7 linked regions of the Oryctolagus cuniculus genome follow. The protein of the gene in region 1 interacts with the protein of each later gene in a pairwise test. Links are inferred from orthologs where the notes say so. Each region holds a gene or a part of one and is shown on either strand. Other genes may lie near its edges.

Region 1 (3,500 bases):
GCAGTAGTGACGAAGGTGTGAGGGGGCACTGTAGCAAACTGGGGCGACGAGGTGACGATGGCAGAGGCTGCGCCCGACGCCTCCATGTCGGTGCTGCCGACCGGGATGAGCAGGGGCTGGGTGCCGGGGATCACCAGGTGCTGCGGCAGGCTGCCGGCGTAGGTGATTGCTTGCTGCTGGCCGCTCAGGTAGCCGATAACTGGGGGCTGCGTCCCTGCGTAGAAGGCCGTGGCGGGCAGTCCGACCGGGAGGGGCTCTGAAGCACTGGGCGTGGTCTGAATGACCGTGTGGGGTGATAGGGCGTAGGAGCGGTGGCCTGGCCTCCCCAGGTGCAGGTTGCCTTTGTCGTTGAGGGTGGAGGGCGAAGCCTCGCGGTGCGTGGCCTGCTGCACTTCCAGGTCTGTGGCGGGCGTGCTGCTGTTGGGCAGAGCCATCACAGAGGCCCGCACCCCTGGGGCATCTCGGCTGCTGTAGTCCGCGGGGCTGGGGTGGACCACCACGTGCCTGGACTCGTAGGGGTGAGCGACCGCCTTGCCCCCGGCTTTGCCCAGGCCCAGGTCGGCCGAGGACGGAACCCCGTACCGCCGGCTCTTCTCCATCTCCCCGTTGAGGACCTCCTTGGACTGGATGGACGGCTGCAGCCTGCCGCCCTCGGCCTTCTTGGTGGACTCCCGAGGGACAAAGTGGCTGCCGGAGTCCGTGTATTGCACGACGACCTGGGAGGAGGGCCCCAGGGTGAGCGTGTGTGGGATCATCGTCGGATGGGGGTGGAGGTGGACGGGGATGGGCGGAGGAGAGGCCGGGCGCCCGGTGCTCTGCGGAGAACTGGAAATGTGGACGTACTGGTTCTGCTGGGTGGGCGGCGGGGACCCCGGGGTGACGAGCCCCGGTGCCCTGCCCAGGTGCTGCTGATGCTCAACCTTGTGTCCCGGGGGGGCCTGGCTCAGCCCTCCCATGTTGGACAGCAGAGTGGAGTAGGCCTCCAGCTGGGAGCGCTGGGATGGGGCGGTGGCGCCCGCCGCGGAGGCCACCACACTGGTGACGGAGTTGGCTGTGGGGGAGATCAGCTGTGACGGGATGAAGCCGGCGTAAGGGCCGCTGTACTGGGAGGAGCTGATGAACTGGAAGGTGTGTGGCAGGTGAGCGTACTGCACGGGGGACACGGGCGTCCCTGACTGCGGGGGAGGGTACGCCGCGGGCAGCGTGGTGGCCGCTGGGACCGACCTGGGAGCACTGGGTGGGGAGTAGTCCAGCCCAGTGGACAATGCTTTGTGTAAACCTATTCCCTGCTGTAAACCGAGCTCCACCGAGGTCCCTGCCGGCCCGTGCCTCCCGCCCCCGTGGCCTCGGCCGCCAGGGTTGCCAGGGAGCCAGGCCACGGCCTCCGCCCTGTGGTTGTCACTGGGCGGCGCCGCAGCCTTCTCCTCGGACGGCCGGCTGGTGGCCGGGATCTCGCGTTTCTTGGGAGGCAGGCATTCATTGCTCCGCTCCTGCGTGGATTTCATCTTTCGCCGCCCTCCCTCCACGGTGACTGCTTCACTGGCTGGCTGGCTCGGATTTTAGTCTGATAAACGGAAAGTCACATTTGATTTCTGTAGGGGATCCAGGTTCTTCATGAGGAATCATCTCCCCGTGGGTGCACTCGGCCAGCGGCAGCTCTGGATTCTGGGCAGAGGACGAGGGAAGAGTGAGAAGGGTGGGGGAGAGGAGGAGGGGAGGAAGGAAGAAAAGGACATCAAAATATCAGCACTGGGACAAAACATTCTCAGCAAGATTAAGATTAAGCCTCGGGATTCAATATGAATTCCAAAAACCCAATTATGGCCCTCGCATTACAGGGAATGGGAGGGGGGACATGAGCAAGGGGTAGCCTCACGGCACAAACTCTGGCATGGAGTCAGCTCTCCTGCGACACTCTCAGTACCCTCTCTCTCCTCCTCTCGGGGTTTTCCCCCTTCTTCTTAGAAGGTAGATGATGCGTTTCTCAAATTTCCCTTCCAGAAACGTCAGCTCCGGGCCTCACCTCTTCTTCCCTTGGCTGGAAGCCCACAAGGGAGAATGACATCAGGGAGACTCTGCTGGACCCTGCCCTCAAGAGCCAGGCTCCAGGGAGGAGCGGCTTGCACAGGGCCGTCCCGCGCAGTCCCTGGGTGTTACGTCCCAGAGCCACAATCCTGGAGGGTTCTACCTGGCTCTCGGTCCACACTGGACTCAGCAGTAATTCCCTCTTGCCTAACACACACAGACACACACACACACACACACACACACACACCACAACTCAAGAGAGGCAGCCCAGAATAATTCTGCTCTCGAGAAGTTTTTAAAAATGCCCAGTATAGCCACTCAGATGCCAACAGAACGCCAAAAGAAATCTGTGAGACGGTTACAAAGCACTTTTGATTGCAGTTTAAAAAGCCAAGAACAATAACAAGCCTGACGCGTTCCAAGTTTCCTGAGGGTTACACGCCTGCTTTGTCCCTGTCTCCTGCCTGCTTCCCTTCTAAGCTGTCTCTGTATTTTCTCTGCACATCATCTCCTTTCTCCCTGCAAAAGGCCAACTCGCCGCCGATGCTAAAGACGGCACTTCTTGTAGAAGAATCACACCTGGGTGTGCAAACCTGGGCACACGGTGGAGCCCATACCGCTGGGACATTTGCCTCAGGTTCTCAGTGGCCTCTGAGCTCTAAGTCATCCCAATGGTAGGTGACCCGGTGCCCACCCGGCACGAGACGGAATGTTAGCAGAGCCAACACGGGACCACTGAACATGCCACAGAAGTGAGCGTTCCCCCCGCCCCAGCAGCACAGTGCTGCCCTGTGTGGTAATACTGGGAGCTCTGGGATAGGATCGGAGACCTCAGGCCCCTGGTTCTGGCAGTTCTCTCACTCTGACCCTCTTTTCTATGATCTGATTTTAAAACAAACACAAACATGCAGCATCCGTCAGCATTCAACCCCGGTCTACGCTGACGCAATGGTGAGATCCCTGCTGCCACACCCCCTTCTCCGCCTCTGCTACCCCTTCTTGCACCACCAAAACCAAGTACCTCCTATAAGGCTTACACTGCCTCTTCCTAATCGGTGACATTTTGGGGGCAGTCAATGATTGACTGACTCTTTTTCATTTTGCTTCACCGTCATCAATGGGTATCACCAAGAAATGATACAACAAATGACAAGTGACACAACAGATGACAAATGACATGACAGAGGATTCCCCAGCCTTAATGAATCTGACCATGCATGAAGGAAGATGAGGGCTAAAAATTGTGTGTCTCAGGCCTGGTGCTGTGGTGCAGTGGGTTAAGCTGGTGCCTGAAGTAATGGCATCCCATATGGGCGCTGGTTTGAGTCCTGGCTGCTCCACGTCCAATCCAGTCCCTGCTAATGTACCTGGGAAAGCAGTGGAAGATGGCCCAGATGCTTGGGCCCTTGTACCCATGTGGGTGACCCAGACAAGCTCCTGACTCCTGGCTTTGGTCTGGCCCAGTTGGAGCC
Region 2 (4,294 bases), about 15 Mb from region 1:
CGCAGGGACCGGAGGGGGGCCCGCGGGGGAGGGGCGGGAGCCGGGGTCGCGCCGCCGCCGGGGGGACGGGCGCGGGCGGGGGCCGGGGCGCGCGGTCGGTCGGGGGGCGGTTGGTCCGGGAAGGGGGGCGGGGCCGGGCGGGGCCGTAGTTTCTCTTTACCGTCTCTCTACTTTCGGAAGCAGGATGTGGGCCGGCCCGGTGACGTCATGGGGTCTCCCAGCCCCGCCCCTCGCCCGGGCCGACTGGGGGAGGGGGAGGCCCGGGAGATGGGGAGGCGGGGGGGGGGGGACCCCAAGGGGGTTTCCTCAGCAACGCGTGGAGGGTTGGGGAAAATCATTGTGAAACTCGAAACTCATTAACTTTGAAAAACAACTTTAAGAGGAAAAAAAACACACAGAGCGGGAGGGGGCGGGGAGCCGGTGTAGAGGGTGGAAAGGCGGCGTGCGCTTAACCCTGAACCGAAACCGCGCCGGGGTGGCGGATGTTCTATTAAAAGAGAGAGGAAAGCCAAGGTTATTCCACAGGCCGCTCCCGGGCCCGCGGGTGCTTCCCGGGGCCGGCGCTGCGAGCGCGATTAACCCCTCCCGGCCCGTGCGGGCTGGGGGCGCGGACCTTGGGGGCCGGAAAGCCGCGCGCGCAGCTCCAGGGAGGGCAGCGAGGAGCCCTTCCGAGGAACCAGCGCTGGGGACCCCGGCTGCTGGAGCGCCGTGGGGGACCTCTGCGAGAGGCGGCTAGCGAAGCCGGTTTTCGGGGTTCAGACCCAAAGAATGCTAGGAGTCTGGGGCTCAGAGACCCCATGCTACACCCAAAGAAGCAGGCAAAAGTGGCTTAGCCAGCCGCCCTGAACTTAGCAGCAATGGTGGTAAAGCAGAAAACTGGATGCTTAAAAAAAAAAAAGTAATAACCAAACTGTTTTCCCCTTTTAAGGAATTAAAAAACGCTGACGGCCATACAGCCACTAAAACAGCCGGGCCATCTGCGCGCCCCTGGGCTTCCACAAAGGTGTCTAGGTTCCTTCCTGCAGAGGCTGACCAGGGAAATCCTAAGGAAAGCTCGGAGCGCCGGAGTGGGGGTGATTAAAAATGGAATACTCAGTAATGGGCGATCTTGTAGCCACAAAGAATGTTACGGAAAAGGAGAAATGTGCTTGCTAAAAAAAGTAGACTTGCTGGTAGGAGCGAGGATCGTCCACATGAGTCCGTTTTCAATGACCTCTAGATGCTCTGAGCCTACAGTGAAATATGCAGTTTTAATTTTCCATGCGATAGCAGACGAGGGCAACTTCCCACCTGGGCGGTTTGAATCCAAAAACAACCATGCTCTCAAATGAGAAAGTGCAGCCTGGCAGTCGGGGTGGAGAATCCGGATAGAGAGGCGAGCTGGTAATCTGGGAGGTTAAAAACGCAAACCGATCCAGCCTTGCCCAGCACCACACAGATATCCAGCGTCAGCACCGTGTTTATTAGAGACTGAGCACTGCCCTGAACTTCTTAGCAACCCACACGTACAACTTCGAATTATCAGAGGTTAATTTCGCCTTCTCAATTCGTTCTCCTGGGCAGCAAGCCGACGTTCAAGTTGGCTTTGCAATGCACACACACCACTGAACAGCCTCCTAGGACGTCTTCTAATTTTCTAAATGCAATTTATTTTCTTAATTCTACAACTCTCCATCCGTAAGTATCAGGAAAGAAAAACTGCCCAGCTAGGTTATAAAGTAGCTTGCATGGACTTCCTGGCAAAGCAGTGGAGCCTCCCAAAACAAGCGGAATGTGGAGAAGACGTCATTGGAACCGCAGTGGACAAGTGAATGGGCGACTGCCGTCCGAACTGTCAAAACCCGGGGAACAAATGCAGGTGGCCAGGGACCGCTCGGGGCTCCCAAAGCTCCACCCCTACCCGCCCCCGCTGGGGTGAGGGGACTGCGGAGGGCAGTCGGTGGGCAGCACGTCCGCGCCCGCCCCGCGGCCTGGGTTCCCACGCGGCGGCCGGCCCGGGCTCCTCTCGGGCTCCCCCCTGGCGCGGCCCCGCGGCCCCGGCCCTCCGCCCAGCGCGCGGCCCCGAGCGCCCGCCCGCCGCCGCCGCCGCCGCCGCCACGCGGAGATCCCGGAGGTTCCTCCCCGCCGGCCGCCGCCGGGTCACGCCGCCCGGCCCTCCCCTCGGCCCTGCGCCCTGCAGCCGGGGCGCGCGCTGGGCTTCCCCGTCCGGCGGCCGAGTCCCCTCCCCTCCTCTCCCTCCTCCCCTTCTCCTCCTCTCCCTCCTCCTTTCTCCTCCTCTCCCTCCTCCCCTCTCCTCCCCTCCTCCTTCTCTCCCTGCTCCTCTCTTCTCCTCTCCCTCCTCCTCCTCTCCCTGCTTCCTCCTCCTCTCCCTCCTCCTCTCTTCTCCTCTCCCTCCTCCTCTCCCTGCTTCCTCCTCCTCCCCTCCTCCCCTCCTCCCCTCCTCCTCCCCCTCCTCTCCTCCTCCCCTCCTCCTCCTCCCCTCCTGCTCCTCCCCCTCCTCCCCTCTTCCTCCTTCCCCCCTGCTCCTCCCCTCCCTCCTCCCCCCCCCTCCCCTGGGCGACCTGGCGACAGAAACCATCCCCACACGCGCTGCCCGCTCTGCCCCCCGCCACGCCCGGGCTCCTGCCAAGCTCGGCGCCAGACAAAAGAACAGGGACCAGAACTTACCCACAACGGCCACAGCCAAAGTCTTTCCTCCGAGGCTTCAACTTTTAATTTTTTAAAAACAACAAAAGCAGACACCCGAAGCCTCCCCTCGGCTGGAAGTGGGCGTGAGAGGAAGCGCTCGGGGGAGGCGCCTCGCCCGCCAGCTCGCCGGCCCCGGCCCCCGCTCGCTCGCCGGCCCGGGCCCGGGGCTTTGATCTTATCGCGCGCACCGCCTACGCGGGTTTCTACCTGGGGCTCGGCTCCGGGAGCCGAGCGCGCAGCCCGCCCGCGCCCCGCGCGCGGAGAGCAGGTGGCCCGAGGCGCGAGCCCCTGCCGCCGCGGGGACCCGGCCGCATCCGCCCGGCTCGCCTTTGTTACCTGCGCTGCAAGTGGACTCTCCGCCCAGCTCCTGGCCCTGAGGAGCGGGCCCCTGTGCCATGTGTTAGGACTGAAAAATGAGCTTAAAGTCATCTTCCCCAACCTCCGCCCCGCCTCACTCACACCACAAACTTAGAATATGGTGGTGGTGCCTGCTTCCGAGGGCTTTGTTCGGCTTTCAGATCTCGGTGTTGAAAGTGAGCGTTAGTCCCGTCTCAGAGCAGCCTAGAAGAAGGGACGAGTGAGCTGCACACCGACACGCTGAGACCCCCAGGTGGGTTAGAATGAGTCGCACACCCTCCCTCTAACAGTGTGGAGACCTTGGGACTGTGGGTTTGATCCTGTTTGGACCTTAATAGAAACTGGTTGTATTTTTGCGCTGGGTTAGCAGTCTGAGGACCAACACTGACAAATTGCTAACAAAGGCTGCTTAAAAAAATAAATATTAAAAAAAGCAGGTTAGTAGCCAAGAGGGATGGCCCTGTCTTCAGTTCAGCTGTACCCGTCTATCCAGTTGATGCCAACACCAGCCTGGGTTCAGGCCTTGCCCTCTGGGAGTTTACAAATTAATAGAGACAGGATTAACACATGGAAAAATACCTAGAGGGGGGGAAAAGATACAAGAAGCAGCTTATAAACAGAGCCAATTAAAGTTATACAGGGTTATTTACATGGTTGCTGAAAGGGTTCTTGGGTGGAGGGCAGGATTATCAGAGGAAGTTCCCTCCTGAGGCTGAGTTCCCAGTAGGATTTGGGAGGAGAGAAAGTTCGGGTTTTGGCAATGATCTGAGGACAGCATTCCTGGGGCAGAGCTGGAAGGTCAGAGCAAGGGAACTGCGGGTGATGGGTTTACTGCCTAGAGCAGAAAGTCCAAGTGAAACAAGTGACGCTCAAACCACGGTGCTTCTGAGAGTGAAAAGGAAGCTACGGAAAAGCTATGCAGAAACCGGAGATGTCCTTGTACACCTGGGCTGGCCCAGGCTGACAGGGACGGTGGGCTGTCCGGCCAGGAGCCACGAAGGCACAACAGGCAGCCACAGACAACCAGAGAAGAGCCCCCAGTCCCCCATCATTTGGAAGGCATGAAGGCATCCTGGTGCAAACAGTTGGTAGGCATTTGGAGACATCTGGACTGAGAATGGTCTTTTTAAGGAAAGTCATTGTCGCTCATGAATTCAGATAGCTGTGGGAGCTGGCTCCAAAGCCGTAGTAGAGTTGTGTTAGCAGTAACGGTGACAGTGGCAACGGGCGGTGATTAGCGCTTACCCAG
Region 3 (4,033 bases), on another chromosome or scaffold:
TCTGCTATGGCCTGGGAAAGCAGTGGAGGATGGCCCAAGTCCTTGGGTCCCTGCACCCACGTGGGAGACCTGAAAGAAGCTCCTGGCTCCTGGCTTTGTATTGGCACAGCTCCAGCTCATTCAGCCAGCTAGGGAGTGAACCAGCAGATGGAAGAATCTCTCTCTCTCTCTCTCTCTCTCTCTCTGTAACTCTTTCAAGTAAATAAATATTTAAAACATAAATAAATAAATAATTATAAAAAATAAATAATTATAACTGTCTAGTGAATTTTCTCCTTAAAAACTTCTTTTATCATTTCTAAGAAACTAAGTGTTTTATTAATGCAACACAGCTTAGAAGTTGCTTAATAATTTGCAAGTTTTAAAATTCTTTCTTCCTGTTTTTGTTTTTTTGTTTTTGTTTTTTTTTTTTTTTTTTGACAGGCAGAATGGACAGTGAGAGAGAGAGACAGAGAGAGAAAGGTCTTCCTTTGCCGCTGGTTCACCCTCCAATGGCCGCCGCTGCAGCCGGCGCACCGCGCTGATCCTGGCAGGAGCCAGGAGCCAGGTGCTTTTTCCTGGTCTCCCATGGGGTGCAGGGCCCAAGCACCTGGGCCATCCTCCACTGCACTCCCTGGCCATAGCAGAGAGCTGGCCTGGAAGAGGGGCAACCGGGACAGAATCCGGCGCCCCAACCGGGACTAGAACCCGGTGTGCCGGCGCCGCAAGGTGGAGGATTAGCCTATTGAGCCACGGCGCCGGCTCTTTCTTCCTAACTACTATGTAATTCCTCAGAGCCCGAACCCTGTTTCATACCGCAGAGTTAAACGATGTACTTAACACATTGTAATAATTTGTTTTCCTATCAGTCTCCCCTCCTACAGTCTGCAATTCCAATGAAGAGATCAAGTTTTACCAATATTTGTATTTCAAACACAAAGTAAACCTCAGTAAATGTTTGTTGGATGGATAAGTGAATTAATAAATCTATTTTTTTCTGTGAAATGCCTCACATAGTACTCTATACATAGTAGAAATTCAGTTTAAAGCTTGTTGTTGGCTTTATGCAGAAATTTTTTTAATCCAACCGCTAAGCAAAGCTTTATCTTGCCTCAGAAAATCAACTCTACTTTAAAGCTTGGCTACTAACATTACAAATTAAAAGTTTTACTTTAACACATATCAAATAAATGAGTTCAATAACTAACCACATCTAAGCAAGCTAAAGAAGGATTTAAAAGCCATTATTCTAATTAATGAATTTGTGAACCTCACCATGGAAAAACCCAGTTACATAATCAAAAGAGGGGTTATCCCTTGCAAATTTACCTACAAATAAATGATAGAGAAACCAATGGTCAGAAAGCTTGAATTTATAAATGGAAATGAAAAAATTATTTTGTGCCTGACTTAAAGCCTTAGTTTCCACTAGAAATAAGAGTTAACCAGTAAAGTGTTCCAAACCCATCCCCAGAAAACAGTCTTTGAAGCTAAGAGACCACATGTTTTCCTCTTCCAATGATTTCAATTCCTGGGACTCATTTTATTTTCACAAAAAATTGACATTCAAAACTTGCTCTGTCTCCTAAAATAAAACCTCTGATTTCTTAAAAGGCAAATAACCCGAAAAGGCACACTTTGGGAAACCGAGGTTTTATATCCGAGTAACCAAAACTATTTCTCGTTTTAGGGTTGAGCCTGCTGCTGCAGTAGAAACACTTTTCTTGGTTTTTCAGTTACGTTGGTGGAGGATTTAAGTGTCATACTGCACATTATTTCACTACATTATCTAAACTGATTTTTACACTGCATACATAATTCCCTAAGTACACTGTAAAGGAGTTCCGCACTTGAATGAATCCGGGAAGAACCGCGATCTTAGCACACACCCCCTTCTTCCAATTCAGCACACTTTAGAGGAAGCACACCTTAGTGTTTTGGTTTGGTTTTTTCTTTTTTCCCCCTCAAGAATTGTTCTCCCGCCCCCACCCCCGCTTTATTTTACAGCAGCAATCATTCATGAGCCCACTCTCGGTATCTCTGCCCAAAGAACCTTCCCAACTAACACTAGTTCCCCGGGACTCTCCCCTCTGCCAGAGCGACCATAGGGGTATCTCTTTTGGAATGAGGGAAGGAAGGGAAGCGAGGAGGGTTCGGGACGCCACCATTCCCGCCACGCCATTGAGGATACAGGTCCTGGCGCGCAGCGGAACCTGGGGAGCTGCAAGGGTCTGATCCTCTCTCCTCCCCTCGAGCTCCCCAACCAGCGAAAAACAAACTGGGCCCAACCTCTGTGCTCCCATTCAGTCAACACATCCTCCTCCTCGCTGTACCCCGTTTCTTCCCACTTCTTCCCCAACGTAGCAGGGTCCTTTTATCTAGTTCCAAGTCCCAGGAAACCTCCTGCTCCCAACACATACACCCCTCCCCGATGCGGCCCCACTCCCCTCGAATCCCACTACACCCGGGTCCCTCCCCTGGACCTCTCAGAAGCTCCAGCCCTCCCCGCACGCCCCAGAGCAGACCGGCGCCCGGTCCCTTTACCTACGGGACCTGGGTCCTTCCCCGCACGTCACACTCCGGTCCACTCCCCAGCGACCCGACCTTCCCCACACCGTCCCCGGGAGCTCTCCGCCAGTACCCCGTTACCTCCGACCCCGCCCCCCTGAGGGTGTCGCACTCACCGCTCCCGCCGCCGCATCCTTAACCGCCGCGGCTGCTATAGCTACAGGGAGCCAAGGCAACCAGCTCTCGCGACACTTTCCTCAACTACAGCGAGAACAGCCGAGAAGAGACTCTCGCAAGAAAGTAAATGAGTCAGGCTGGAGACAGCTAAGTATATCTCGCGATAGTACTGTTTAAAATGGCGGCTGCAAGGCGTTTCGGGGGTGGCTTGAAGGGTTTGGAGGTGGGGCGCGGGCGAGGGCGAAGCTTGAATGACCGAAAGTCGTAGAACTAGTGTAGCTGGGACAGTATGTCCAGGCTGAGGAAAGTGAATATGGCAGGCCCTACTCTGGGATAACTTTGGGGATACAGCTTTCTTAAACTGCCGCAAACGTAGCCTCCTGTAGCTGAAATTTGTTTTCTCGGCGTTTTCTTAACGCATGTAGAGGAGTTTGAGAGGGAGCGGGCAGGCCAGAAATTGACCTTCCCATCTCATTAACTGTCTTCAAAAAGTTTTCATGTGTTCTTTCTCCACCGTGGTCTGTAGAAGGCTTCTCAGAAATGTTGCTCCGTGAGTGCCCCGCCCTAATAGATCGCCGGACCAAAATAGGAAATGTGTTACCCTAGCACCCCTTCCCTCCAATCGAACGTTGGCACAGGTGTGTCGCATCCTGTCGCCTGGGACGCGGAGGGAAACCGCACTGCTGTGTGATCTGACCTTTGCGATTGTTGCTTGCCATCCTGTGGACACATCGTTCCTTCAACTGACTCAACACTCAGTAGAAGAGCCATCTCTGTAAATGCAGACTAACTGAGCAGCATCTGAACCGGAAGATGCATGAAAAGAACTTTGGGTAATAAGGAAAAGGAACAAATGGGGCAGAAATTAATAAATAGAGAATTCATTTTCATTTGTTGAAGTCCCTAAATAACTTTAATAGGGTGGTTTAGACTAGTATCGTCGGTGGAAACATGTTGTGACCCTCATACAATTTAAAAGCTATAGTCACCACATTTTTAACAGATTTTTAGTAGTTTTTTTTTCATCCAACATGTTCAACATATCACTTCAACATGTAATCAGTTTTGTTACTAATAATAACTTTTTTTAAATACTGAATTTTCAAAAATGTGGTACTTTTTTATTCATGTGGCACATCTCAGTTCAGACTGTTAAGTTTCAAGAGTCCAATAGTCAGTCACCTGTGGCTAGTGACTACCATACTGAACATCACAGACTAGGACTCTAATAAATGATCAATCTCAGTGACTTTGGATAATGGTATTATGGGTGTGCAGTTTATATAAAAGAAACCCTTGAAGTTGCTAACTCAAATGCCACAGAAGCTACTCAAGTAATACTGAAAGATGATCTGTTGTAAAACAACAT
Region 4 (4,033 bases), on another chromosome or scaffold:
ATTTGCAGCATTAATTTTCCTGAAACCAGTAATTTTAGGGCTTGCGGGTCAGCTTAAGACGGTGGTAAGCAGAAACAATTTCTCCACTTCCTGGAAGCAAAGCTGCTTGTTTCAGATAGAATATAGTAGAAAGAGCATCATGTTGATTCCAGTCTGAAGATTTTAAGAAGACGGGCATCTCCTATTTCTCTTTAGGACACACCTACCATCCCATGAAGAGCCACACGGAAGGGCCCATGTGGAGAAAAACTAGGATTTGTGGCTAATAAGGTAATCCTTAAAATTAGTTTATATAATTGCATGCTTCAAGTTGTCTTCCTGATAATTTTTAATGAGTTAAAACTGATCATTAGATCATCATTATTATTACTTAGTCATGTGACTGAAGAAAAAGTTGGGATAAAGTGGCAACTATGACATTTTCACGTTGTTTTGCATTTTTTTAAATATTTATTTATTTACTTTAAAGACAAAGTGACACAGAGAGAGAGAGAGAAAGATAGAGAAGGAAAGAGATCTTCCATCCACTGGTTACCTTCCCAAATGGTCTCAATGGCTGGGGCTGTGCCAGACAGAAGCCAGGAGCCTAGAACTCCGACTGAATTTTGTATGAAAGTAGCAGGGACCCAAGAATTTGGACCATATTCTGCTGCTTTCCCAGGAACGTCAGCAGGGAGGTGCATGGGAAGTGGGGCAGCCAGAACTGGAACAAGTGTGATACGGGATGCTGGAGTCACAGGCTGAGGCATCACCCAATGTGCCACAATGCCAGCTTTTGAATTGTCATTTTCAGTCCTTAGTTTTCTTCTCAGAACTTTTCAAACTGCTTGTCCATTTGTGAGGATTACTTCAGTTAAAATCAAATAATCTTGGAGAATTCTGCACATATAAGCTGTAATAAGTCATAATAGACTGAAACAGGTGAGAAGTTAAACAGCCATCAGGACACCATCAGCGTTCTTTTTTACCTATTTTTCTAATTTTTTGCATTTTTGGACAGTGAGAGAGAGAGACAAAGTTATAGACAGTGAGAGAGAAACAGAGAGAAAGGTCTTCCTTCCATTGGTTCACTCCCCTAATGGCCGTTAGGGCCGGCACTGCACCGATCCAAAGCCAGGAGCCGGGTGCTTCCTCCTGGTTTCCCATGAGGGTGCAGGGCCCAAGCACTTGGGCCATCCTCCACTGCCTTCCCTTTCCGGGCCACAGCAGAGAGCTGAACTGGAAGAGGAGCAACTGGGACTAGTACCCGACGCGCCAACCAGCTCTAGAATCCCCGGGTGCCGGCGCCGCAGGCGGAGGATTAGTGAAGTGAGCCATGGCGCCCGCCAATGCTTTGCATATCTGAGTAACACTTTCATTCTAAGTAATGAGTACAAAGGAAAATATTATATAATTCTCTTAGTGTTCCTTACCATCACCAATACTCTTTAAATGTTTTGGCTTCCCCTTCCATAGTAGTATACCCCCATATTTTATGTTGAAATATAAGGTCTTCATTGTAAGTTTAGATGCAAAGGATGCAATGCCTAACATATTATGATTATTGAAATACACAAATAAAGCTTTACATTACTCCTTGGAAAGTATTTTTTTTATCTACACACTATAATGATCTGATATCTGCTACTATGAATTTTAGAAAGACATGAAAAGATTCTTTCACAACATTTACAAACTTGAATTTTCTTTTCACTTTTTAAATTTATTTTTTAATTCTATTTCTTCCATGAACAGTTCAATCTGTGTGATTTATTTGCGGGAGAAATTGTGGAAGAGTGAGAGCGAGAGGAGATGGAGGGAGAGCGAGCGAGCGAGCGGGAGAAAGCGTTCCCATCTACTGATTCACTTCCCAAATGCCTGCAACATCTAGAACTGGGTCAGCGGAAGCCTGAAGTCTAGAACTCAACCCAGGTCCCCCAGTGGGCGGAAGGGACCCAAGCACTGTTAATGTCAACTCCTATATTAAAATCAGTAAAGCACAATTCTTTTCTTTTTAGAAGAAACAGAAAAAAATAGAAAATACATTATCTTTAACCCACACCTCACTTTTAAGATCAAATACTGAAAGTTTGGATTCCAGGATACGATTCCAACTTCTAAGTCTCAAAGGTGATGTTTTTCTCTAGAAAAACAGATTTCCCTTGGTGTAGGAGTAAAGGAGACATTTAGAGTGCATCTTAACTGTATTCACAGGCAACTTAAGGAACAAGAAGTCCCGGAAACATTCACAAACAGGATCTCTTGCAAAACGCTGAGGTGGGGGTGGGACCACAAAAGATTACTGGAAGAAGAAAAGGGTGCGTAGCTCTTCAGTTTCAGGGAAGAAATTTCTAAAAACAAATCACACGCTCGATTCCACAAGGACGCCTCTCGGAGCACCAAGGGCTCGATGTCTGTCCGCGGGCTCGGCCCGGAGGGCGAGTTCCATCACCGCGCAGAGTCCCGGCACCGCCGAGTACCAGACGCGGTAGAAGGGAGCAGGGGCCGAGGGCGGACTTGGCAGGTGGGCACCGCCCGCAGGGGCACCCCGTCCCGCGAGGGCGGAGACGGAGGCTTAGTGGCCAGGACTCACCCCTCCTCCGTATCCTGGGTAGGCCATGACGAGCCGAGCAACCTTCAGCCCTCCTGTCAGCGTCCGCCCTCCTGAAAGAAAGGTACAGGTGCAGATACAGGTGCAGGCGCAGGTGACTCAGAGCAGCACCGGCCGCGCGGTTCACTCCTTCCAGGCCCGCCCCTCCCGGCGTTCAGCCCCGTCCTGCCCGGTTCCGATTGGCCACGTCCCGCCTTTCGGAACTCACACTTGATGGAGCCCGCCCCTTCCCGGAGGCTAATCCCACCCTCCTAATCCCTGATTGGCTACATCCCGCCCGTCCAGCACAGCCCACCTTTGCTCTGCTCCTATTGATTCGCTCGAGTTCTTGCCCTCTCCTCTTAATCCCCAAACAGCCTTTTCCACCCTGTAACCCTGCAAGCCCTCTGGGAATGTTGTCCAAGCCATAGGCTCCTGAAGTGTCTTTTCTCTTTACAAACCCAGAATCAGTTCGTGGATGAAATCTTTTAATCTATTTCCGAGCGTTTTTTTTCCCGGCTTTTTTGAGCTAAACTTTAAATATACATCTGTGAATCTCAAAACGTGTCAAGTAACTTGCGATTACTTTTGGGTAGTGTTAATGTGATATCAACACTTTGAAACCATGATCATACTTGTACACCAAGGACAGTTGCTTCTTCACTAAAACCCACTTAATGCCTAGGTTTAAGAAAAGATTATCTGTAGTCTGAGGTCAATTTGGTTTTCAAATGATTTTTTAGAATAAATACATCTCTGATATTTTACAGCACCTAAACTTACAATGAAAAATTATTTCCTATTTTTGTGCTGCTAATATACAGGGTATCTTGTGTATTAGTTGGTGACTACTGGTAACAACCTTTGATAGAACTCTTAAGACACATGTCCTAATTATATCTAAGAGACGGACAGCTTTATGTCTATCATCTGGGGAAAAGTAAAATGCACAATTACTTTGTTTTACCAAGTAATGGAAATGGGCAAGTCTTCTTTTTCTCTAGAACTCAAATTTTGTAGCTCTGGTTTTAAAAGGACAGGACAATGTAGCTTCAGCTTAAAAACAATAAAAAGATCAGGACACCGCTTAAAATAATCTCTGAAGAATAACACAAGGGTTAACATGTTTCACTAAAATATACTGCAAGGAAGTGTTAACTACTGGAAGAGGAAATCAAGCTTACAGAGCTATGTAACTATTTCCCCACTACAAAACAGAAGAGGAATATGTTGGGCCTTGTGAAAGACTCAGGAAGAGGCAGAGGAAAGGAGGGTTGCTAATGTACAAGCCACTCTTGAGAAAGTGTTAGTTCCTCTAACACAGTTAGAAATATGTTAGCCCAAAAGAGTTAAGTGATTGACTTTAATAACTAAATGGAGAGAGGGTAGCAAAACTAAACTTGGTAGGAGGATCTCCTTGAATATGAGTGACTAACTGAGGCAGCAAATAATAAGGTATTGGAA
Region 5 (3,500 bases), on another chromosome or scaffold:
TGCTCAGCTGTTTCCTCACGCACGGTCATTGTAAAGGGACTGACCCCCAAAGCTTCCCTGGGTCACCGTGTTCCAGGTCTCCGGCCAGCACCCCCTTCCCCCGTGCAAGTGTGTTCCTCTCTACTGCACTCCGCTCCTCCGCCTTTGGGGTACATTCTCCCCCACCTTCCCAGGGGCTGGGCCAGGCCTTCAACTTCCCACCGAGAGCTGGTATGGCTTGGTGGCTCTAGCTGGAGTCAGGGCCCCTCAGTTAGGGAAGCTTAGGGAAACCCTGTCCCTTGTTCTTAAACAAGGACGAGAAATGTTTGCGAGTAGACCCTGGACACATCACTCATCTGGTCTTTGTTGTCAGGGTCTCTGGTAAGAAGAGTGAAAGCAAAGAAGCCAAGAAGACCGAAGAACCAAAAATCCGCAAGAAACCCGGGCCCAAGCCCGGCTGGAAGAAGCAGCTGCGCTCTGAGAGGTGAGGGGTCCTCAGCGGGGGCTGCCCTGCCTGTGGCAGCAGCGCCGCCACACGAGCTGTCCTTGCAGGGAGGAGCTGCCCACCATCTACAAGTGTCCTTACCAGGGCTGCACAGCCGTGTACCGAGGGGCTGACGGCATGAAGGTGAGGCGCGGGCACCCGGTGTTGGTGAGCCTGGGCTCCTGCTGAGCCAGGCGTGGCCTTGGGCCCAGGACTCGCGGGAGCCTGGGCTGAGGGAGGCGTGCGGCCTGGGACGGGGTGACTTAGAGCCAGCTCTTCACTCCGGAGGGGCTCGGCGGTGTGGAGCCGGTGCACCTGCATCTGCCCGCCTTCCAGGGTGCTCAGCCCTCGCCTGTGAGGACACTGGGGGGCCTGTGGGGCGTGGGGCTTCGGCCAGGGAGGCACTCGGGTCTCTCGCTGGCCCCTTTACAGAAGCACATTAAGGAACACCACGAGGAGGTCCGAGAGCGGCCCTGCCCCCACCCCGGCTGCAACAAAGTTTTCATGATCGACCGCTACCTGCAGCGCCACGTGAAGCTCATCCACACAGGTACCTGCTCCGATGCTGCCCTAGAAGCACCCGAGTGGGGGGGGGGCGCCTGGGGGGACTTGGGAGCCTTCCAGGAGTCTCAGGTGCCCACTCAGGTGGGGGCTGCAGTCTGAAAGACAAACCCACCAGTCCTGCCTGAGGTATGGTCTCTAGGTTCAAAGTCATGAAAACTGACAGCACAGGAAACTCTAGTGCACTTCTGGGAGTTGATCAGATACATTGTAGAACCCTTTTCAGATTAGAAAATAGCTCATGTTCATTATAGAAACTGAAAAATGAGAAACGCCTAAGATGGTGAAAGTTTATTTGGAAGGCAGAGTGTGAAAGACAGACCTTTGTTTCGTCTGCTGGTCACCAGGCTGGGCCTGGAACTCCACCTGTGGGCACAGGGACCCAGTACTTGAGCAGCAGCACCTGCTGTCTCCCAGGGTGGAGGCAGGAGGTGAGCCAGGCACGCCGACGTGGATGCAGGCGCCCACCGGAGCCCGCGTGACTTAGCTGTGTGGTTCCTGCATCGTAGACGTGCTGTGTGACACAGGCACTGCTGCTGTCCGTGCCGTCCGTGAGGCCAGCAGTCCTGGGCCGCGCTCCGGCCCGCTAACCGAGGGCCCACTGCAGCTATTCTGCCGCCCAGCCAACATGGAGTTGACAGCTGACCCCAGAGTCGTCTTCATCAGCTCTCACGCATCCCAGTGAACGGCTTTCCTGTTCTGCTCTGAGTGTTCTCACGCGGGTCTCCCGATGCAGTCGTGTTTTGGGCTATGTTCTTCCAGCCGTGCGTCTCAGTCCAGTTCCGGCGGTCACACCTGCTCTCTAGTGCCCGAGACACTGTAGATCCAGGTCTTGGAAGGAGTCTGGGGAGCTGCTGTAGGTATTGCACAGACGTGCGGGCGGCACACTGCGGTGGGGCGTGTGTGCCCCGCGTGGAACTGGCTTGTTTCCACAAGTTGATGGAGCCATTTATACGCCCCGTCCGCACTGGTTGGACAGGTCATCACAGCCTGTGCCCCCAGTTACAGACAGTCTCCCCTGCCCCTGTGCTGTCCACATCCATGTAACATGGAGACGTCTAGAGCTGGGATGCCTCCTCCGTGAAGCCTCTCCTGACTGCCTGTCTCTAGGCTTCGGAGCTCATGAAGGGGTCTTGAAACTGAGCTTGAGGGGGTGGCATTGTGCACCAGGTCAGGTTGTCACCGGGACAGCCACGTCCCACATCCGAGGGGCAGCTGGGCAGGAGTCCTGGCCGTTGTTTCCGATCCAGCCCCCGGTAATGTGCCTGGGACCCCCAGGATGGAGTTTGTGGTCTAGCCACAGCTGCTGGGGCTGTCTGGGTGAAGCAGATGGGAGGCCCCTCCCTCTGCCTGCCCAGTCACCAGGGGTGGGGACGGGCCGAGTCCCGCCTGTGCTGCCGCAGCACCTTGGGAGAGCGCGGGCGCCCGCATCAGACACCTGGGAGGAGATCCGGGCTGTTGCATTTTAACTGTTCAGACGTCTGGAATGTACAAGGGAAGGCTGGACATAGGCAGTATTTTCGAGCAGTTTGGAAGTCTGTTAGAACAGGCCCTCTCTCCGGGCTGCAGAGGCCCTTGCCTGGGCCCGGCTGCTCTCGGTCCTGGCGCCAGCCCCGGTCCTCCGCCCGCCTGTCTTGCAGAGGTGCGCAACTACATCTGTGACGAGTGCGGGCAGACCTTCAAGCAGCGCAAGCACCTCCTGGTACACCAGATGCGCCACTCGGGAGCCAAGCCCCTGCAGTGCGAGGTCTGTGGCTTCCAGTGCAGGCAGCGGGCGTCGCTCAAGTACCACATGACCAAACACAAGGCAGAGACTGAGCTGGACTTCGCCTGCGACCAGTGCGGCCGGCGCTTCGAGAAGGCCCACAACCTCAACGTGCACATGTCCATGGTACATCCTCTGACCCAGACCCAGGACAAGGCCCTGCCCCTGGAGGCAGAGCCACCACCCGGGCCACCACACCCCTCTGGGACCACGGAAGGCCAGGCCGTGAAGCCTGAGCCCACCTGAGGACCGACGTGGGCCGCAGGGCCTGTGAGCAGCCTGAAGGCAGCAGGGGTACGGGGGACTGCACACAGCACCCCAGGGTGCAGGACGCCCGCTCCCTGGGAACCCATGCTATCTATACCCCCCACCTCCGCTCCGCGTGTGGGCGTGGGGCCTGTGGGGCCTGTGGGGCTGTGGGGCTGTGCAGAGCTCTCGCAGCCCTTCTGCCCTCTGCTGTGGGCCAGTGGTTTGTTGTCATCCCACACTGTAGCGGCTTGGGCGCCAGACTATAAACCATTGCCCCTTTTCTCCACTAAAGCGATTCAGGAGATTTGTAATCCACTTCCCAGTGCGACACGTGCGACGCAAGCTCCGCCCTAGGCTGGGACAAACTATTCACAAGGTGCCGGGTCCAGTCAGAACAGCTGGGGCTCGCGGTAGAGGCTGGGGTCTGCCACGGTCAGCGGCTGCCTGCCCAGAAGGGCGGTG
Region 6 (4,185 bases), on another chromosome or scaffold:
CTGTGAGCCCAACTGTAGGCTGAAGCCCTAAGGATTTTCATGGCAGAAAAGAAGGAAGGAAGGAGGGAGGGAGGGAGGGAGGGAGGGAGGGAGAAAGAAAGGGAAGGAGGGAGGGAAAGAAGAAAGAAAGGAAGACTCCAAGCTGATATCTCAGCACAATGACTATTTAAAGGAAACACTTTCTCCTGTTTTCCAAAATTTTAAATAAATAAATTGAAATAGTGCCTACCGCTTATTTGTGATATAATACCTCCAGGCTATACTGATATCCCAGCATGAATAATAGTACTTTAAATATCAATAAAGATATTGCAGGTATTAGTTTGCATCACTATATTTTAAGTATCTATTAAACACTTAAGACAGCATATAGAGTAAATGAGGTATTATATGTACATTCACAGTTAGACAAGCAGCTAATGACATTAGAGAAAGTTTTTTTTTTTTTTTTTGCAGTAATTACAGACATACAAGAAATTGCCAAGGTAATACACGGGGGTCCTATGTACATTCTGCCTGCTTCTCCCAATGGTTATAGCCTACATAATTATAGCATAATATCAAAACCAGGAAATTGACATCGGTGCACATAGTTCCATGACTTTCCATCGCCTGTGTAGATCTGTGTAACCACCACCACAAACAAGATATACATACTATATATATGTACTATACTATATATACATACTATATAATAACTATAGTTATTATGAAGATCTCTCTTATGCTGCCCTTTATAGATACACTCTTCTCACCCTGTGTCCAGGCCCACCAATGCCTGGTTTGTAAAATAATTATTTTGCATATATGTGTTAATATTTTTGCTAAAATATGAAAAGAAAAAAGTAAGACCACATGACTGGGTATTAGGAGATATCTGGTTCTAAGTTTGCCCCTGGCACTTATTCATGCTGTTGAACAAATCACTTGCTCCCTGCCACCCTCAGTAGTTCAGTGTAAAAATTAAGCTTCAAACCTACTTTTTTAGGGCACCTGCATTTAAGATATTACATTTATATATTTATATATATTTAATATTAAGATATTGAGTAAATATCTGATTATTTACTTTCAATTCTGATATCACTTAAAGACTGTTAACTGCAAATCTAGTTAGTAAAATATGGCTTAAGTGTAATGGAGATCATCTTGGATTGAACAGCGTCTTTAAATTTTGCATTAAATAATATTTTCAAATATTTTGCATTAAAATAATATTGTCAAACTAAGTAACCAAAAGCTGCACTACGATACTGTATTGCTGCTTTGAAATCTGAAGCAAATTAAAAAACACGATTTCGTGTGAATTCATCTTTTAAGGGGAGGGGTGCTGCTGTTCTCTCAAATGTACAAGCGTAAAAACTTGGCATAGAGAACCCTGGACTCCTCTGGCCCCCATCGCACCCTTCGAGGAGGAAGAAGCAAGGATCAAAGCTGAAGACTGTAGGCTGTGGGGTTCAAATCGGGCCCTTGTCTGAGAAGCGAGACTCAGAGGCTGCAGCTGCCCGTTGCTACCCAGCCCTGCGCCTGGAGTCAAGACCAGAGAGAAGCCGCTGCGAGAATCTCACAGTACAGTTTTCTGCTTTCCTTGTCAGGCGATACCTGTTCCACACCGGAGAAGATAAAACACCAGGAGAGCTGCTTTCCCTAGGTGAATTCTTCCATTTAAAGCTTTAAGAATCTCTTCCCACGCACCAATTTCAGCTGACAAATCTCTTCCGCTCTGCAATTCACTCCTATTTTAAGTTGAAACCTATTGATACCACCTACCATGAGGCTGTTTGGAGCTCATCTGCTGTGCCCTTCAACAATAACTCTACGAAAAATGGGCCCTTTCTCCACTTAACCCTTTTACTTACACACACACACACACACACACACACATTAGGGGATATCATCTTACACAGATCCACCAAAGCTTTTTGTAGACCGTCAATTCTTTGCTGATTCTTCCTAATCAAAATGCACCATTTCCAAGCCCACGGCCGAGGGCAACCAGTTCAGGGAGACCCAAAACCGACGGCCAATACCATGGCACGGCCAACCCAGCTTGTCGCCATGAGTCCAGCCTGGCCACTCAGTTCCAGCCACACTGCTGGAACGCGATGCCCTGGGCCTCCTTCCGCTGAGACCCCTGGACACCCCAGTTCCCGCGACCTCCCGTGAGTCCAGGAGCAGCACCCTGGATAGCTTCCTTGCTGGAAGGGGCGGTGCCGGGGTCCTAGCGCCCCATCTCCGCCGTCATTGGACCGAAGACGTACAGTCGCCCTCCTGTGCTCGCACGCGGACGCCCCTCTTACCCTTTCTCTGCCAGAAGGGCCGCATCGCGCCGTCCAGGTGGAGGCACCCACGTGCGCCCGGGAGGCCGGGGCCCGGCTAGGCCGCGCGCGGGCGCGGGCGCGGGCGGCACCCCGCGTAGCTGCTGGTTTTCGCTCAGGTTCGGGGAGTCGGAGCCGGGCCCGGCTCGCTCCGGCCGCGCCAGCCCGGCTTGGACACGTGGTGCCGCGGCTGCCGGTGCGCCTCTGTCCGCGCGGCTCCTTGGCCTCGGCAGGCAGCCGGGCTGCGGAGGCCGGGGCTGCAGACGAAGTGGGGAGAAGGGCGGGGGACCAAAGGGCCAGCACCGGGAGGTGGAGCGCAGCGCCCGGGGCGCTGTGAGGGCCGCGTGCCAGGGGCGCCAGGGTCGCGTTCCCGGGGATCGAGGCCTGAAGGCACGGTCCTTGTCGCCAGGGCCGGGGCAGAGAGCTCTGCAGGCTCCGTTTGCTGAAGCGCCGGGTGCGGGGTGGCGCACTGCAGAGGCTCCCGGTTCCCGCCGGTTGAGGGAGCCCCAGCTAAGGGCGGAAGGGTCTGTGTGCTCTCACGACCCAGTGCGCGTCCCTCGGGGCGGTGCGGGCTCGGGCGCCAGTCGCCCGCCCTCCTCGCGGGCTTCGCTCAGCCCACTTAACGAGGACACTGTTTCCGCGCTGCAGATGACAAGCACTGAAAACCGCAGCGCGCTGCTCAGACGTCCTTTTAGAACAGTTCCTCCCTAGGAAAATGTCTCCGGGGACCACATCCGATCTGGGGTCATCCTGTCTCGGCGAGGACACGGATCTACAGCCCCGATCGATTTCCAACTTCACCAAGGACCGTGGGCGCCAAATCTAAACAAGGTGTCTCTGAGTGACGTGAGCTTTGACCCAGAGATAACCTGGCGGGCGCTGTGGTATAATGGGTAAAGCCGTGGCCTGCAGTGCTGGCATCCCATATGGGTGCCGGTTCGAGATCCAGCTGCTCCACTTCCGATCCAGCTCTCTGCTATGGCCTGGGAGTAGCCGTAGAAGATGGCCCAAGTCCTTGGGCCCCTGCATCCACGTGGGAGACCTGGAAGAAGCTCCTGGCTTTCCACTGGCAGCTCCGGCCATTGTGGCCAATTGGAGAGTGAACCAGCTGATGGAAAACCTCTCTCTCTGCCTCTCCTTCTCTCTGTGTAACTCTTTCAAATAAAGAAAAAAAAAAGGGTAGTAGAGATTGGGCCAACAAAATACAACTGCTTATTAAACGTAATTTGTATTGATTATAGATAAGGCTGAAGAAAAGCTCAGGAAAATTATGTTGTGGTTTGTTAGTCCAAATGCAAAACAAATCATCAACCTCCTACTCTTGGGGGAAGGTAAATTTTGGAGGAGACTGGTGCAAAGATGCTTTCTTCCCTTAGAATTGCTAAAGTCCCAAGTAGCTCCATCAGGATCATTGATTTTTTTTTTTTTTCACTGAAGTGCTTCATGATGAAATTGGCTAAGGGTCAAAGAGCAGCCACCAGAGTTTGGCTAAACGTTCATCCAGGTAGTTTCTTGTTATGTTATTTGTGTACCCTTAATCTTCAATTTTCCCTCTGAAAAGGGCTGGTCCATACAGAGGACTGCTCCAGAGAGCAGCATCCTTGTCTTTACCCCTGTGCCTTCTCCTTTTCCTGCCTCCCCTTTTCACCATACTCAACTAATAGCAGACAGTGGTTTAAAGCTCAAGATACTTAACATTCACGGATATGTGAATTGCACTGTGAAGTGCAAGTTTCTACAACTGAGGCCCACCAATGCCATTTGCCTACATTGCTTGCCACATGTTAAATGCATTACACATTCTGCATTGTTTTCCCAGCCATTTTATCTGATCATTGCCTTTTTCTACTTGAGGTTCAGACACCAA
Region 7 (3,500 bases), on another chromosome or scaffold:
CAGCACCTCCCCTGCCTTCCTGCCAGGCGCAGGCCTGACCTCCTAGCCACCGCTCTCACTGCGTCTCCTCCTCCACGCGCATTCCAGCTTGCAGCCCTCCACAGGCGGTGCCCATTCCCTTCCTCCAAAAACCAAAGCCCTCATCCCCTGCTCCGCCAGTCTCTAAGGGACCGCTGCAGAGCTTGGGAGGGCTTGGACTGTCTGGTCCAAGAGGGCTCCATCTGGTCTCCCCCTTCAGACAGGGAGACCAGGCATGCTCCTCGCCTCCCTGGAGGCCCAGTGGAGCCCATGAAAGTGCCGGGTGAGGAAGTGACTGGGATGGGGTGGAGGAGGAGAGTCACGGCCCAGCTGGCCGGCTCTCGCCTTCAGAGGGAGATTCTAGCACTGGCTGGGAGAGGCGGGGCGGAGCGGGGGGGAAGAGAGCGAGTGAACGTGAGACAAGGCAGACCCCAGAGGGACTGATGGAAGACTGTTCCCGTGCACCAGGGGGTCGGGTCCTCCTCGCCTCCGCGCCTCTGGAGAAGGTGGCAGGCCACAGAAGTCGGTGTGGGGTAAGAGGTAGGGCCGATCGGCCCCACTGGGAGACGCTCTCAACGGCTCTGCTGGAGGTGGAGACAGAGCTACGGGGTTGGGGCCCCTGCCTCCAAAGTCGCCCTGCTGTCTGCAGAGGACAGGGGAGAAGAAGAGGGGACAAGCTGCAGGGGGCGGGGAGGACAGAGACCCGGACGCCGGCGTGGAGGCAGGGCTGGGGGATTAGGAGAGCTGGGACCCCAGGAGCCTCTCGATGGCCGCGTTGATGTCCCCTCCGGTGGCGATCAGCGCCTGCAGGTTGGCTTCCCGGTTGATGAAGCCCATGGAGTTGAGCTGCTCCAGTTGCTGCTGAAACCTCACCTCTGGCGTCTGTACCTGGAGGAGACAGGGCCTTGTGAAGGGGGCACAGGACCAGCCCCAAAGGGTCTTTAAGACCAGCAGGTCTCTAAGTCCTCTGAGTCAGCCAGGGGCGCGGGGTGGGGTGGGAGTGGAGGAGTCCAGGTCCCAAGGCAGCAGAACGGGAATAACAACGTGGGGAAGGGCCTTGACAGCTCACGGGGAAGCCGCCGCCTGTGACGCGGGCATCCCACACAGCGGGCCGGTGCTGAGTCCTGGCTGCTCTGCTGCCCATCTGGTTCCCTGCTAATGCTCCTGGGAAAGCAGTGGAGGACGGTCCGAGTACCTGGGCCCCAGCCATCCACATGGGAGACCCACATGGAGTTCCAGGCTCCTGGCTTCAGCCTGGCCCAACTCCGGCTGTTGTGGTCATTTAGAGAGCAAACCAGTGAGTGAGTGGAAGATCTCTTTCCCTCTCTGTCTCTCCCTGTCAGTCTGCCTTCCAAATAAATAAAATAAATCTTAGAAAAAAATTTTTTTTTCAAAGTTAACTGATAGGCCTGCACCAGCTCATTTTCCTAACTGTTCCCCATGGACACTCGGGAGATGTCAGCCGGCGTTCCCAAAGCCAAATGCTCTGGGCTCAAACAAGACGCATGCTAAAATAACCCTTCGGGGACGCGGCCATGGTCACGGTTGAGGCCGAGGAAAGTAAAAGCTGCTTCATTGTGTTTAGCTGATCAGTGAGCACAGGGACTTACATAAGGGAAGGTTTTCCATTTTTGACACACCGATGGGTACCTCCTGGAAATGTTTTTTGGAAGCACTCGCTTAGATCATGAACAAAAGACACCACGAGGGGCTGGTGTTGTGGCACAGGGGATTAAGCCACCACTTGCAATGCTGGCATCCCTCATGTGCCCTGGTTCAAGTCCCGGCTGCTCTGCTTCCGATCCAGCTCCCTGCTAATGAGCCGTGGAAAGCAGCAGAACATGGCCGAAGACCCTGGGCCCCTGCCACCCACGTGGAGGACCCGAATGGAGTTCAGTTCCTGGCTCCTGGCTTCAGCCTGGCCCAGTCCCGACTGTTGCAGCCATTTGGGGAGTGAACCAGCATGTGCGAGATCTCTCTCTATATAACTTTCAAATAAATAAATCAATCTTAAAAAAAAAAATAAAAAAGCCTCTGAGAGCCAGCAGGAGCAGTCACAGTCCACCGGGGTAGATAAGTCAGTTGTCACCTAGGGAGAGGAAGGACTCGCCCCGGTCACAGCGCTCAGCTGCCACGGCCCCCTGACTGCCGACAAAAGCCTCTGCCAGCCGCTGCACATGGCGTCTCACTGCTGTCCTCGGAACTCACCCGGGATCGGGCCTCGCCCTGCCTCCCACAGAGCCGGCTACACACAGATGAGACATGGAGGCCAGCGGAGAGCGGGGAGGCCCACCAAGGTCGTCACTCTTCCTCCTGGTACAAGCCCCTGGCCTCAAGTTTGTGGCTCAGGGCTCCCGCCAGCCCACCTCCCAGCAGCCTTCTCTGCAGTCTCAGAGGGGCAGGCTGCCTGAGTCCTCTGACAGCAGGAGCCGCGGTGACACGGTGGCCACGGTGTGGATTCCGGAGCTACAAGGCCTGGGTGTGTCTTGGCTCCCTGGCCTACTAGCTATGGAAATGAGCAAGACACGCAACCCCCGGGGCCTCTGTCCTCCGCACTGGCGAGCAGACAGTAACAGAAAAACAGCAGCCTCCCCCGGGTTGTCGTGAGGAAGATGACAGTGAGCCCCTGCTGTACCCACCTGTGGGAGGTGCTGTTCCCGTCCCCTCCCTCGGCCCGCCGTGGACACACAGAGGATCCATCCCCAGCCTGGGCTAGTATGCAGCAGAGCAGGACCTAACGGCAGGTCTGGCTGACCCCAAAGCTGCCCTGCTGCCCACCCCCACACCACTCAACGCCTGCACCAACCCCCACGGCCCCTGTGCACCTGTGAGTTTCCACTTCCTGCCAAGAGCTGGATCATCTGCTGCATGAGCTGCTGCTGGGCACTGGAAGCCCCCGTTGGAGAAGACGTGGCCGGCGGGGCAGGCGAGGAGGTGGGGGCCTCAGGCGCGGTCCCGGCGTTGCTGCCCGCGGCAGGTGCTGCCGTCCGGGACATCCCGAAGGAGCCAAGGCTGCAGGCAGGAGGGCCCAAGAATGGGAGGTGGCGTTCACGAGAGCCAGGAGGAAACGCAGGTGGAGGGGACAGCAAAGCAGAGCCTCGGGACACGGAGGCTGCGCGAGCGGCAGAGAGGGCGGCTGCAGGGGAGGAGGAGCCGGCCCCGCTGCTTGCCTGCCCCCTGCCTCACCTGGGTACCAGCCCGGGGGCCTCGGTCTGCAAGGTCTGCAGCCCCTGCTGGATCTGCAGCAAGGCCTGCATGGCGCGGGGGTTGGTGAGGATGGACAGCGACTCCGGGTTCTGCATCTGGTGGGACGCAAGCAGAGAAAGGCGAAGGAGAGGAGGTGGCAGCCTGAAGCCAAGCTCTGCCCCTACCTTCAGGCGCCACCCCTTGCCCTCCACCTCCACCCCTGCAGGCGCTCGCTCACCTGCTGCAGGAAGACGGGCAGCTGCAGGCGGAGCTGCTCCTGCAGCTGGGGGTTCCCC

What was found.
Region 2: the proteins of ATXN1 (region 1) and HIVEP1 interact in binary tests that used the Homo sapiens proteins (3 or more experiments, as listed by UniProt). The link is inferred for Oryctolagus cuniculus from reciprocal best matches to the Homo sapiens genes ATXN1 and HIVEP1.
Region 3: the proteins of ATXN1 (region 1) and USP54 interact in binary tests that used the Homo sapiens proteins (3 or more experiments, as listed by UniProt). The link is inferred for Oryctolagus cuniculus from reciprocal best matches to the Homo sapiens genes ATXN1 and USP54.
Region 4: the proteins of ATXN1 (region 1) and GCA interact in binary tests that used the Homo sapiens proteins (3 or more experiments, as listed by UniProt). The link is inferred for Oryctolagus cuniculus from reciprocal best matches to the Homo sapiens genes ATXN1 and GCA.
Region 5: the proteins of ATXN1 (region 1) and ZNF276 interact in binary tests that used the Homo sapiens proteins (3 or more experiments, as listed by UniProt). The link is inferred for Oryctolagus cuniculus from reciprocal best matches to the Homo sapiens genes ATXN1 and ZNF276.
Region 6: the proteins of ATXN1 (region 1) and SYBU interact in binary tests that used the Homo sapiens proteins (3 or more experiments, as listed by UniProt). The link is inferred for Oryctolagus cuniculus from reciprocal best matches to the Homo sapiens genes ATXN1 and SYBU.
Region 7: the proteins of ATXN1 (region 1) and UBQLN4 interact in binary tests that used the Homo sapiens proteins (3 or more experiments, as listed by UniProt). The link is inferred for Oryctolagus cuniculus from reciprocal best matches to the Homo sapiens genes ATXN1 and UBQLN4.

The regions. Positions count from the first base shown.
Region 1 is NC_091436.1:143,623,897-143,627,396, forward strand, and holds part of ATXN1 (ataxin-1), read right to left. Parts: intron 1,666-3,500; 5' UTR 1,506-1,665; coding exon 1-1,505. UniProt on the Homo sapiens protein: Chromatin-binding factor that repress Notch signaling in the absence of Notch intracellular domain by acting as a CBF1 corepressor. Binds to the HEY promoter and might assist, along with NCOR2, RBPJ-mediated repression. Binds RNA in vitro.
Region 2 is NC_091436.1:158,574,841-158,579,134, forward strand, and holds the start of HIVEP1 (zinc finger protein 40), read right to left. Parts: upstream 2,801-4,294; 5' UTR 2,668-2,800; intron 250-2,667; exon of another isoform or gene 161-249; intron 139-160; exon of another isoform or gene 1-138.
Region 3 is NC_091446.1:64,751,690-64,755,722, forward strand, and holds the start of USP54 (ubiquitin carboxyl-terminal hydrolase 54), read right to left. Parts: upstream 2,801-4,033; 5' UTR 2,664-2,800; exon of another isoform or gene 2,655-2,663; intron 2,629-2,654; exon of another isoform or gene 2,524-2,628; intron 1-2,523.
Region 4 is NC_091434.1:79,323,349-79,327,381, forward strand, and holds the start of GCA (grancalcin), read right to left. Parts: upstream 2,801-4,033; 5' UTR 2,600-2,800; coding exon 2,573-2,599; intron 1-2,572. UniProt on the Homo sapiens protein: Calcium-binding protein that may play a role in the adhesion of neutrophils to fibronectin. May play a role in the formation of focal adhesions.
Region 5 is NC_091449.1:69,341,124-69,344,623, forward strand, and holds part of ZNF276 (zinc finger protein 276), read left to right. Parts: intron 1-352; coding exon 353-463; intron 464-531; coding exon 532-607; intron 608-895; coding exon 896-1,013; intron 1,014-1,300; exon of another isoform or gene 1,301-2,664; coding exon 2,665-3,035; 3' UTR 3,036-3,407; coding exon of another isoform or gene 3,408-3,500. UniProt on the Homo sapiens protein: May be involved in transcriptional regulation.
Region 6 is NC_091437.1:135,118,794-135,122,978, forward strand, and holds the start of SYBU (syntabulin), read right to left. Parts: upstream 2,801-4,185; 5' UTR 2,326-2,800; coding exon of another isoform or gene 2,301-2,325; intron 1-2,300. UniProt on the Homo sapiens protein: Part of a kinesin motor-adapter complex that is critical for the anterograde axonal transport of active zone components and contributes to activity-dependent presynaptic assembly during neuronal development.
Region 7 is NC_091438.1:42,651,368-42,654,867, reverse strand, and holds part of UBQLN4 (ubiquilin-4), read right to left. Parts: coding exon 3,443-3,500; intron 3,321-3,442; coding exon 3,205-3,320; intron 3,031-3,204; coding exon 2,844-3,030; intron 907-2,843; coding exon 754-906; 3' UTR 1-753. UniProt on the Homo sapiens protein: Regulator of protein degradation that mediates the proteasomal targeting of misfolded, mislocalized or accumulated proteins.